Linked DNA regions of Oryctolagus cuniculus. The protein of the gene in region 1 purifies or fractionates together with the protein of each later gene. This does not show direct contact. Links are inferred from orthologs where the notes say so. Each region holds a gene or a part of one and is shown in the gene's direction. Other genes may lie near its edges.

Region 1 (5,482 bases):
CCTCTCGAGACTGGCCAAGTGCGGTAGCTGATACGGATCATCAGGTTTTACAGTTTCAGCGTTAACTGCACTGAGCAGCTTTAGCATTGAGTTCATTTCTTTTAAAAAAGTGTTTTTTTGTTTTTCTCAGGCAGTGGCTTTCATTCACGCCAGTTACTCGGGTCTTTTCAAGTTTGTGCATTAGAAAAATAGGATCATTGTGGGTTTTTTTCTACAATGAAAAATAATAGTTCTTGTAAAAAGGCTTGTGGCGCAGCAGTTCAAGGTCCCAGCTGTTCCGCTTCTGATGCAGAAGTGCCTAAGAAGGCAGCAGAAGATGGCCTGTTTGGGCCCCTGCACCCACGTGGGAGACCCGGATGGAGTTCCAGGCTCCTGGCTTCTGCCTGGTCCAGCCGTGGCCATTGTTAGCTATTTGGGAAGTGAACAAGCAGATGGAACATCTCTCTCTCTGTCTCTCTCTGTTTCTCTCTCTAACTCTGCCTTTCAAATAAATAATATCTTAAGAGGGAAAAAGAGGCCGGTGCTGCGGCTCACTAGGCTAATCCTCTGCCTTGCGGCGCCGGCACACTGGGTTCTAGTCCCGGTCAGGGCGCCAGATTCTGTCCCTGTTGCCCCTCTTCCAGGCCAGCTCTCTGCTGTGGCCAGGGAGTGCAGTGGAGGATGGCCCAAGTACTTGGGCCCTGCACCCCATGGGAGACCAGGATAAGTACCTGGCTCCTGCCATCAGATCAGCGCAGTGCGCCGGCCGCGGCAGCCATTGGAGGGTGAACCAACGGCAAAGGAAGACCTTTCTCTCTGTCTCTCTCTCTCACTGTCCGCTCTGCCTGTCAAAAAATTAAATTAAATTAAAAAAAAAAGAGGGAAAAAGAAGGGAAATTCAAACATTAGTAAAGCATATGGCACAGGAAATACAGGTCTCCTATAATCTCCGCTGCCGGTATGCGCCCCGATATTCTCACGCGCACTCCACTCTCCTGGGGTGAGCATTTGGCGCCTGATCTTTATTTAAAAGTGATTTCCAAAGGCCCACGTGAGAGTTGCAGTTCGGTGGTAGAAGAAGCTCCATCTCTGTGCTTTGTGGTCCCTCAGTGACCGCGGGGTAAGCACTAGTGGAAAAATCGGGAGACCGCACAGTACTTGTGTGCTGACATCCCTTCACAGGCATTCGAAATGTGTGCCTTTAACTCGCTTGTTAAAAATGCACTGAGTGCCAGCTGTGTGTCAGGTGCTTTTCCCAGCGCTTGGGTTACAGCCGTGAACAAAAAGCAGAGGTGCCTGCCTTCGCGAGCTCACGCCGGGGCAAGCAGACACGATCAACAGTGGACTAAGTAAACCGTAGTGAGCACTAGAAGGCGACCGAGGCTGTGAACGCCCAGCCGAGGAGAGAGGCTCGCTCAGGGTCCAGGTGGTGACTGGGGAGGTCGGAGTGGTTCTCACCCAGATGGCGCCATGTTTAAGCGAAAATGTGAAGGAAGGGAACGAAGAGCGAGACGAAGCCTGGGATGTGTTCGGTTCCAGGGCAGCCATGCCAGGGTCACAGCATTAGGAACCTGATGTTTTCGTTCTTTTTCTTTAAAAATATTTATTTTATTTATTTGAAAGTCAGAATTACACAGAGAGGAGAGGCAGAGAGAGAGGTCTTCCATCCGCTGGGTCATTCCCCAGATGGCCACAACGGCTGGAGCTGCACTGATCCGAAGCCAGGAGCCAGGAGTTTCTTCCAGGTCTCCCACACGGGTGCAGGGACCCAAGGACTTGGGCCATCCTCTACTGCTTTCCCAGGCCACAGCAGAGAACTGGATGGGAAGTGGAACAGCCGGGACTTGAACTGGCGCCCATATGGGAAACATGCACTGCAGGCGGCAGCTTTACCCTCTACGCCACAGCGCCGGCCCCAGGAACCTGGTGTTTTCATTCTCTTCTCAAAGAGCTGCCACATCCATAAAACGTCCCTCACACGGGGCAGCTCAGCTGGTGTGGAAACAACAAGCCTGGGGCCTGGAAAGGGACCTCCACAAAGGGACTCTTCCACTCCCACCTTGGACCATTTGTTTTCTGAGATGAGGGAGGGGCCTGCTTTTTGTTAAGTTCTCCCTCCAGCCAGGCCAGACTCCTCCCAGCGTTGCCTTTAGTCTTCACAGCAGCCCTGGGAGTCAGCAGTAGCCCTATGTTACTCCCACTTCCCAGGGAGGCACGAGGAAGTTACGGGGTTTGCAGGAGGTCATAGGACCAGGAAGTGAGTGAGCCGTGAGCCTGGCTCCCTCCCACTCCAGCCCACGGCCCTGCCTCTCATCTCCTCCCCTTCTTTCTAGGCCGGCCTTCTCAAAGCTGGAGGACTCCTTCGAGGCCCTCTCCCTCTACCTGGGGGAGCTGGGCATTCCGCTGCCGGCAGAGCTGGAGGAGCTGGACCACACTGTGAGCGTGCAGTACGGCCTGACCCGGGACTCGCCTCCCTAGCCCCGGGCCAGCCCCCTGCAGGGGGGCGTGCCCCAGCCCGCCTTGCCCCCTCTGCGCCCGACCCCTGCGGTGAGCAGGGCCGTCCTGGCTTCCTGTGGATTGGCGGCTTGTCTAGAAGCAGAACAAGCCATCCCTACTACCTCCCCAGGAGGCAAGCAGGTGCAGCGCCAGGGACGTGCACCTCCACAGGTTCCGGAGCCTGGTGGTCACTGTCGCTCAATCCAACACTCACCTCAAAGCTGTGAAGAAGAGACACGAGCCTGGACCGTGTGCCAGGAGGAATGTGTTACTTGGGACCACTCGGGGACTCCCTGGCCCTGGGATCCCGGGAGGCTCCTGCTTACACTAATCGGCATGACCTGGACCTGCTGGGCAGTGTCCCGGGGTGCAGGAGGACTTCAAGCGGGCGTGTGGACGAAAGACTGATGGCCGGTGGCACTGGAAGAGCGTGAGATGACAGTGGTGCTCCCCGTGTGCCCTTCAGGTCCTGCCCTCCCTGGGGCAGAGGGGAAGGGAGCAGGCCTTGAAGAGTCCCTTAGTCCAGTGGCCAGGAGGCAAGGATAGGAGGGCTGGTGTCTGCTCACCTGCCAGGGGGTGGCTCGCGCCAGCTCTGGGACCGTATCAAAGTGGGGGGAGAGTGGGGCTCCCACAGGCCAGGAACCAAACTCTACTGCTGGAGGCTGGCTGAGAAGTTTCTGGGTGACATCCTTTCTGTCTGCACCAAGCAAGTCACCCACGAGCACAGGAAGAGGCTGGGGGCCGGGAAGAAAGAGGCCCTGCCTCCTCAAAAGCCCATGTCCTAGCTCCTGTCACTCAGGCCTTGGTGGGCTCCTCAGGCAGACCCCTAAGACACACTGGCTGGAGCTGGATGGTTTCCGGAGGACAGCCTGGCTTGCCACAGGCCTGGAGTCTGAGGCTGGGGAGTGGGCGTCGGCAGTGTCACCCTTCTGTGTGCCTGGTCCAGGTAGCAGCTTGAGTTGTGAAGAGGGAGAGGCAGAGCCCCAGAGCTGAGATGCTGGGAGACAGCTCCCTGACTGGGCCTTCTACCTCCTTTGTTGGCTGGCCCAACTCACTAGCCGCTGGCCACAGCCCCCTGAGCCACCCTGCAGGACCAAGGGCACTGGACAGCCTGAGGTCCCCCACCTGGGCTCCCAGAGCTCCGGGCATTCTTCAGCATGACTTGGATTTGCCTCCTAAGTGGCTGTGAGCTTGCACCATATTTAACAAATCGGGAGTGGTTTGGGGTGGTTGTACTGTGGGGAGGGGGTGTGGCCCTGGAGAGTGGTTGCTGTTAATATTCCCTTGTCGTTCCATCTGGTGGGTGAGATGTGAAATGTTGTACATAGACCTGATGAGTGGTGGGATCAGGTGTCATCTCTGGCGATGCAGACTGCCCTTGCGTGTGCAGCTCGCAAGCTCGCGGCGGGTCGAGCCCGGGACTCGCAGCAGCAGCAGCCTGGCTCGGCCTCGTGTGGCAGCAAGCACGGGCCGGGTGGGCCTGAGCTGGGCCGCTGAGCAGACTAAATAAATCAAGCGGTTACCTGAGTGACGAGCCTGAGAGTGAAAAGGTGACTCGGAGGTGGCCCAGGCCACACAGCTGCCCACCACAGGCAGTGCTCGGGCACCCAGTGTCCTCCCCTCCTCCTCGTGCCACACACCAGCCCACGCCAGAAAATGTGGGATCCGGCTGAGGCAGCAGGTCTGCCCTCCTCGTGGCCAGGCTGCTCTTCCTTGTTCTGTCTCGGGCTGGGTCCTTCCTCTCAGCCCTGCACTCTGACCTCTGACACAGGAGCACTTCTCCAGCCCGGGCCTCCTGGCTCTCTCTCCACAGGGCTGGGTTCACCCTTGCAGTGGGGAGAAATGAATGCAGGTCAGCCCACCCCAAGGGTGGGCGTGGAGAAGCCCCGCTGCTCGTGCCTTCTGCGTACAGCAGGACGCGGAGTGACCACTGGGCGGGATGATGCCGTCTGCCTAGCTGGGGGTCGTGGGCACAATATGAACCCATAAACCTAAAGGTAATTCCTCTCAAGCACTCCCGGGGCTTGAGGGATCCAGGACAAGAGCAGAACTTGGTTCCTGAAAATCCTGATGATCTGGGGGTAGTGGTGGAACTATAGAGCGATGGCTGGGCACAGGCACAGGTCACCCTGCGGATTCCTGGCGGCTCAGAACCAACTGTCCTGGAGCCCTGGGAATCGGCCTGCGGGGACCTCCCTCAGCCCCTGGCTGCTGCGGTACCGTCCCCGACCCCAGCCCTGACACGGGCTGTGACCTCACTCCCCCTCGGGGAGAGCTTGGCGATGACCGCTCGCCGTCTTGGGATGCCCACCCACTCGTGCTTCCTGTGGCCCACCCACTCGTGCTTCCGACCTGGGAGATTCCTGCTGAGAGCGGCGACCAGGAAGCAGAGTCTATCAACGGCTGCCGCCCTCGGGTTCGAGAGCCTTCCAGTTTCTGGTCTAGGGTGAGCAAAGAGCAGGCCAGCGCTTGCCGCACAGGCTTTGATGAGGTGACCTGAAGCTTCCTAACTTACAGGGGGAGTGCTTGTGGCACTCAAAAAAAACCCAACAATGTTGTGTTTTTGTTTGTTTTTAATATAAGTCCGATGCAGAGCAACTTCTCGTACTTTATACGCAGGTGTCAGTATGAGGTATATAAAACGTGTACAGAGAAACGCTGTTATAGAAAAGTAGAAACCAGTAATGTTCTCTACTCCAGCATCATGAACACCAGGGGACCCCCTGAGGTCTAGGCCCCCTCAGCAGATGGTTCCCGGGAACAGTCTGCTGGGGGGGCTCCACTCACCCCCCTCTCCACTTCGGGCAGTAGAAGGGCTCTGGGAAGGAAGCCCTGTGGCTAGGGAGCACGGCCAGGGCCTCCAAGTGTGACGTCAGGACTTGGAGGGCCCGCCGAGCCCCTAGCACAGTGCAGCACAGTGCATTGGAGAAATGTTGGCGCTCGGTCAGGCAGCCGGGCTCCCCTCTCGGCCGTGCCAGGAGCCTGCTCTCTGACCTTGGGCGAGTCG
Region 2 (6,430 bases), on another chromosome or scaffold:
TTTGCTAGTCCTTATATTGTTTTGCTTACATTATCACATTAGCTTATTAAACATTAATCCATAAAAGTGTTAATGAAGTTATATGAAGAAGCTAAAGCCCAGAATAATTCTGAAACTTGTCCATAATCATGCTGCTAACAAGTAGTAAAATCAGAACTTGAATATACACTGGTATCTTGCTTAGTTTCACTTTTGAACAAACAGACATTAAATGATGCTGAAATTACCATTCCATGCAAATGATAGGAACATAGGGAATAAAGGATATGACTAAGAAAACTTAAGTTTTGTGACTTAACCATCAAGAGTACAATTGATGATTAGCCAGATGACCTTTTTTTTTTTCTCCTATTACTATTCTTAAAGTTTAAGTAAAAATGACTTAGTTCTCAGAAGTTGAGTTGTGGAGTGGGTTTTGTGGCGCAGTGGGTTAAACTGTTTTTTGGGATGCCTACATCCCATATTGAAGTGCCAGTTCAAGTCCTGGCCACTCTTCTTTTGAACCACTTCCTGCTAATGCACACCCAGTAGGCATCAGATGATGGCTCAAGTGCTTGGAGCCCTATAACTCAGAGGTTGCAACCTGGATGGACTTTTTGGCTTCTAGCTACTGGCTTGGGCCTGCCCTAGCACCGGCTGTTGCAGGCATTTGGAGTATGAACCAGCAGATAGATGATCTCTCCCTTTGTCACTTTGTCTTCCAAATAGATGGAAACAAACTTTATTTTTTAAGATTTATTTTTATTTATTTGAAAGGCAGAGTTAGAAAGAGAGACAGAGAGAGATCTTCCACCCAACAGTTCACTCCCAAATGGCTGCAATAACTGGGCCTGGGCCAGGCCAAAGGCAAGAACTAGGAGCTTCATCTGAATCTCTCAAGTGGGGGCAGGGGCTCAAGCAGCACTTGGGCCATGTTATGCTTTCCCAGGCGCATCCAGTGATCTGGATTGGAAGTGGAGCCACCAGGATTCAAACAGGAACCCATATGGGATGCCAGCATTGCTATGCCACAACTCTGGCCTCTGAAAACAAACTTAAAAAAAAAAAAATCAAGTTGCTACCAATTAAATACACTTCTGTGATAAGAAAGCTGACCTTTTTGTTCACCTTTGATAATACTGTGAGAAATTATCTAATTCTTTGATCTGTTTCAGAGAAGAAGAGAAGAGAGCACTAGATTAAAGGAGGAGGGAAATGAACAGTTTAAGAAAGGAGGTAAGATTCTGCTTAGCACTGATGGCTGGTTACCTTGACTCTTCAACCTGTTTTTAGAGTCTGTCAACAAACACCAAAGAACATTTGGAAACAGCTAGCAGGCCTAAACTGTTCATGACACAGTATTGCTTCCCAGCTTCTTGGAGTCTTTTTCAATTACCATGTCCAAATATTTCTCAGCTGACTGTGACCAGCCAAAGTTTGTCTTTTCTATAATCCATTATTAATGCAGAAATCAAGGTAAACTCTTAAGCTATTGCCTTGTGAAAACACTATCCTTGAATGTTAAAAGGTTGGTTGTTTGCTGTACTCCTGTAAAGCAGAGTCGGCAATCCTCACTTGGTACAGTGCTGTGTGAAAACAGGCCTCATGGCTGCAGCAAGACCTAGGGAAGTCCTTTACTCGTTCTCTGATTGCTTTTTCCTGTTCCTTTTTCTTTGGATGCCTTAGGTAGACAGATGTTCTTCATCCCCTCTACATTTCCTACAGTTGGTTAGGAGTAAGTTGAGGTTCATCGCAATAATCGAAGGGAAACTATTTGATCTTCTAACATCTTTTTGTCACGTCTCAAAATGTATATGCTTCAGAAGAGATATAGGAGTGGGGAGGATGTTTGGCACAGCAGTTAAGATGCCTGCATTTCATAGCAGAGTACCTAGGTACCAGTCCCGACTCCACTCCTGATTCCAGCTTCCTGCTAACACACACCCTGGTAGGCATTAAGTGATAGCTCAAGAAGCTGAGTCCCTGCCACTCATATGGAAGATGTAGGTTGAGTTCCTGCCTCCTGACTTTGGTGTGGCCCAGCCCCAGCAGCTGGGGGGTTTGCAGGAGTAAATTAGCAGATGGGAGCTCATTCTCCGTTCCTCTCCCCGCCTCTTCCTCTCTCCTCCTTTCAAATAAATTAATTAAATTAAAAAGCCATGCCTTTAAATAAATCTATGAGTGTTAAAATTATCTCCTAGTTATTTTGCAGTTTTACATTGCCTTTGTTATATCCTGATTTAGCAGATATAGGTATTCTTTATGTAATAAAGCCTTGTAGTTCCAAATTTGAAAGCATATCCCTTTTTGTGTTAGTATTAAATATTTCAAAACTGAGAAAAGAATCACAGGCATTTTCTCTGAGTATACTTCTGCATATTATGAAGAATACATAGATTTTATCAGCATTTTCTGTTTCAAAGTTTTTAGCTAAGTTTTGATTTTTACATTGATGCTGTTAGGTCTGTAAAATGTCTCTGCAGATATTTCACAGATACCATTTCAGTCAAGTTGACTATATGAAAGCACAGTAATTTTAATGAAAGTACATACACAGAATTTGCCCAGGTCATGGATCTAAGACTTTTTTTTTTTTTTTTTAAGTTTGAATGGCAGAGAGTTAAGAGGGAAAATGACAGAACTCCTGTCTGCTTATTCACTTCCCAAATGCCTACAATGGCCTGGGCTGGGCCAGGTCAAAGCTGGGAGCTGGAAACCCAACCCTGATCTCCCACGTGAGTGGCAGGAACCCAATGATTTCAGCCACCACCATTGCTGCCCACCGTCTGCCTTAGTGAAAAGTGGAGTCAGGTATTGAAACCCAGTATTTTAATATGGGATGCATGCATCTCAATTGCTAGGTTAAATACCAACTGCAGATCTCAGACTTCAGTCTTTCGCATCTGTCCAATTCCTAAACTTCCTTGGGAAGCTCCTTTCTAGAATGACAAGGCAAAGGTGACCTGAGTATCTGTGGCATGCAAACTCTCGAGCACTGAGCTGTCTTCACTGACAGCATAGTTAGCTGTCAGTTCACCAGCCTTACTTCATGAGACTGGCACAAGCAAGCACTATTTCTTTAAAGGGAAAGGAAAGGGGGGGATGATTTTTACTGCCCCAAACTTAATAGACTGTAATACTTTTTGTTTGAAATCTTTGTCCTATGAATGGAAAGTGATGCATACTGAGATCCTATGGAATATAGTAGTGTCAGGAATTAAGTCAGATTGACTGCTCACCCTTTACCTTGTCATCCTCAGATTATATAGAAGCTGAAAGCTCATATAGTCAAGCCCTTCAGATGTGCCCATCCTGCTTCCAGAAAGACAGGTCTATTCTGTTTTCAAATAGAGCTGCGGCAAGGATGAAACAGGTATGAATGTTTGACCTTTTCTTTTTAAGAAGCATGTGAACTTGAACTGTTTCAGAAGGATAGTTTCTTTCCAAAAACTAGTGCAGGGTCTTCAGGTTACTAACCACCTTTTCCTGACCATGTATTTATTTCCCTGATGCAAAGGACATGCGCAAGACAGAAAAACATTTTGAAAAACTTGAGTGAAATTACTATTACTGCTCCCCACTATAGTAGCTGAGTGAATATGTTCAAGGAAGGAAGGCTCCAAGTTTCCACTAAACTGGGATAGATTAATGAGCAAGGAGCCAAGTAGTGCATTTCTCAAAATAGCTGCAGCTGCTTATTTTAGGCTTCTGGAATTCTAGATAAAGGCACAGGGAAACACTGAACAAAACTGTAGACTTACAGATGCTTGTTCCTAAGGTTCTGGTTTTTCTGTTAAATATTGCCCCTGAGATGAAAGGTATCCTTAAATGCAAAACAGATGTCAGGGAAAGTTCACAGCATTTTGTATTTCCATAGGATAGAGAATATGGTATAGAATGTGAAGTGGGTGATCGTGCAAATGCATTTGTTTTATGCCATATTGTTATTAAGGGTTAGATTTATTGCCGACTTGTCTGATTTTTCCAAGTCAACAAAGTCTTACTAGATTGAAATGATAAAAGTTTTAAGTACCTCGTGTTTACTTACAGCTACTTAATCCAAAATGCAAAGAGTAAGCTATTTAACCTTCCTCTAAGCAGCTATGAAGCTGGCTCAAGATTGGGTGAAGTGGTTTTTTGATACTGGTTTAGATCGGGTGTCTCTGTCTCTTTCTCTTTGATACTGCCCGGAATTCTCCAGTGCCTCTACCAATGAGTTTTTTAAAAAAGCAGGAGGTTGGGTGTGTACTTGCATGCTTAGACATGCAAAAACATTTGTGGTTTTCTTTTAACTGTGACTTAGGTATTATTGGATTCAATCTTTAAAGTGAAATATTTTTGAAGTGTTTCATGATATGAGAAAAATAATTTTACAGAATGTGTGAATGAGCATTTTGTATTAGGGAAAATAGAACAGTTGTTTTACATGAATTTAAAACAGTATTCATTAATGTAGTCTACAGCTAATGGAATTCATAGTTAACAGTTTTGACACAGGTGGAAAATTGTGAGCTGTTGCATTTGCTTCTCCATCTTGCCACATTCTCAGACTCTGGACCTTGTTGTTTGGGATCAAGTTTACAATTCATTGTCAGAGAAAATGTACCATATGCCTCTAGCTTCTGGAATTTAGGATTTTTTGTTTCTGCAATTGCCCAAGTTGTTGATAGTTTCAGGTTTGGGGACTAGCATAATAGACCTGTTCTTGAGTTAGACAAATATAAGTTCTTGCTAGTCTTTTGTCACATCCAAGGAGAACTCAAAAGAGCATTGCTCATGGACTGTTCATTGTGCTAAGGGTAGTTTTGTTTATTGAAGATAGAGTCTTGAAAACTTCCAGGATTAGTGCCTTATGTCAATTTAAGGAGCTTATTTGGGACTTTGCAGGGATGTGATGAGTTAACTGCTTTAAGAATTTCTGAAAGGCAGGTTTGCAGACTCAGCATCCCTGAATGCCCCAACCAAACTTCACGTTTTATATCTGGAGGGAGAAAAAAGCAAATGAGTATTAGCGCTGAGTTTCTGCCTCAGGTCTAGCTAGCAAAGTCCTAAAGAATAGCTTTAAAATTAATAGCTTTAAAAAAATAGTTTTAAAATTAATGTCTTCATATATCATGTGCATTGTTTTAAATGTGTGGATTTGTCCCGTAAGAGTATTATGAACATTTGTCTTTTCCTTATGTATTCTGTACATGTTTTTAATAGAGACATAAGTATCTATCTATAAATAGAAATTAAGGGGGCCAGGCTTGTGCTGTAGTTTGGTAAACTGTCCCCTGCAACACTGGCATCCCATATGGGCTCCAGTTTGAGTCCTGGTTGTTCCACTTCAGATGCAGCTCCCTGCTAATGCGCCTGAGAATGTAGTGGAGGACAGCTTGGGCCCCTGCACCCATGTGGGAATGAACCAGCAGATGGAAGATTGATTAATCTCTCTCTCTTCTCTTCCTCCCAACCCCTGTAACTCTGCCTTTCAAATGAATAAAATAGATTTATTTTATTTGAAAGGCAGAGTTACAGAGAGGCAGAGGCACAGAGAACAAGAGAGATCTTTCATCTGCTGATCTCACTCCTCAGATTGCTGCAACAGCCGGAGCTGGGCGGATCCAAAGCCAAGAGTCAGGAGCTTTCCTTGGGTTTCCTATTCAGGTGCAGGGGCCAAAGGACTTGGGCCATCCTCTGCTGCTTCCCTAGGCCATAGTATGGAGCTGGATCGGCAGTGGAGCAGCTGGGACTCGAACCGGCACCCATATGGGATGCTGGCACTGCAGGTGGCGGCTTCACCCACCACGCCACAGCACTAGGCCCTGAATAAAATAGATCTTTTAGAAAAATAGAAATTAAGATAAAAATGGTAAATAAGTTCTGATTTTTTTGTTTTATACATTCTAATTTGGGGACGTTCCCTTTCAGCAGCAGATAGCTTCTGAGTCCCCTGAGGTGTTAGTAGACTGTGAATCATAAAGAAAGTTTTCTTTAATAAAGCACCATAATTACTTGATTTGAACAACCGATTGGTAATAAGCTTTAATGACGCTAGAAACTATCTTTAGGTTGTGGTATAGTTTCTAGGGTCACAAAGAATACTACCACAACAGTTATACACATAAATTTTGAAGACTTATTCCTATTTCAGAAACTTCATGAAAGTGTGTCTTCCATTTATGGAAATTAGTAAGTTGAAAAAAATACTGAGTTGAAGTTACAGAGATTACTTACTACAGAACTTCTTAGAACTTTTTTTTTTTTTTTTACTTTATTCATTTATTTGAAAGGCAAAGTTAAAAAAGAGCAGGAGAGAGAGACACACACACACCTTCCATCCACTGGTTCATTCCCTAAATGGCACAGCTCCCTGCTCCGGGCCAGACTGAAGCCAGGAACTTTATCCAGCTCTCCCACATGGGTGCAGAGACTCAAGGACTTGGGCCATTTTCCACTGCTTTCCCAG

Evidence for each region.
Region 2: the proteins of LIMK2 (region 1) and TTC1 purify together in Homo sapiens (affinity purification with mass spectrometry; 3 studies listed by BioGRID and IntAct, counting the BioPlex papers as one, with this or other methods). This does not show direct contact. The link is inferred for Oryctolagus cuniculus from reciprocal best matches to the Homo sapiens genes LIMK2 and TTC1.

The regions. Positions count from the first base shown.
Region 1 is NC_091452.1:24,428,537-24,434,018, forward strand, and holds the end of LIMK2 (LIM domain kinase 2), read left to right. Parts: intron 1-2,312; coding exon 2,313-2,457; 3' UTR 2,458-4,002; downstream 4,003-5,482. UniProt on the Homo sapiens protein: Serine/threonine-protein kinase that plays an essential role in the regulation of actin filament dynamics. Acts downstream of several Rho family GTPase signal transduction pathways.
Region 2 is NC_091437.1:46,980,014-46,986,443, forward strand, and holds part of TTC1 (tetratricopeptide repeat protein 1), read left to right. Parts: intron 1-1,154; coding exon 1,155-1,215; intron 1,216-3,239; coding exon 3,240-3,352; intron 3,353-6,430.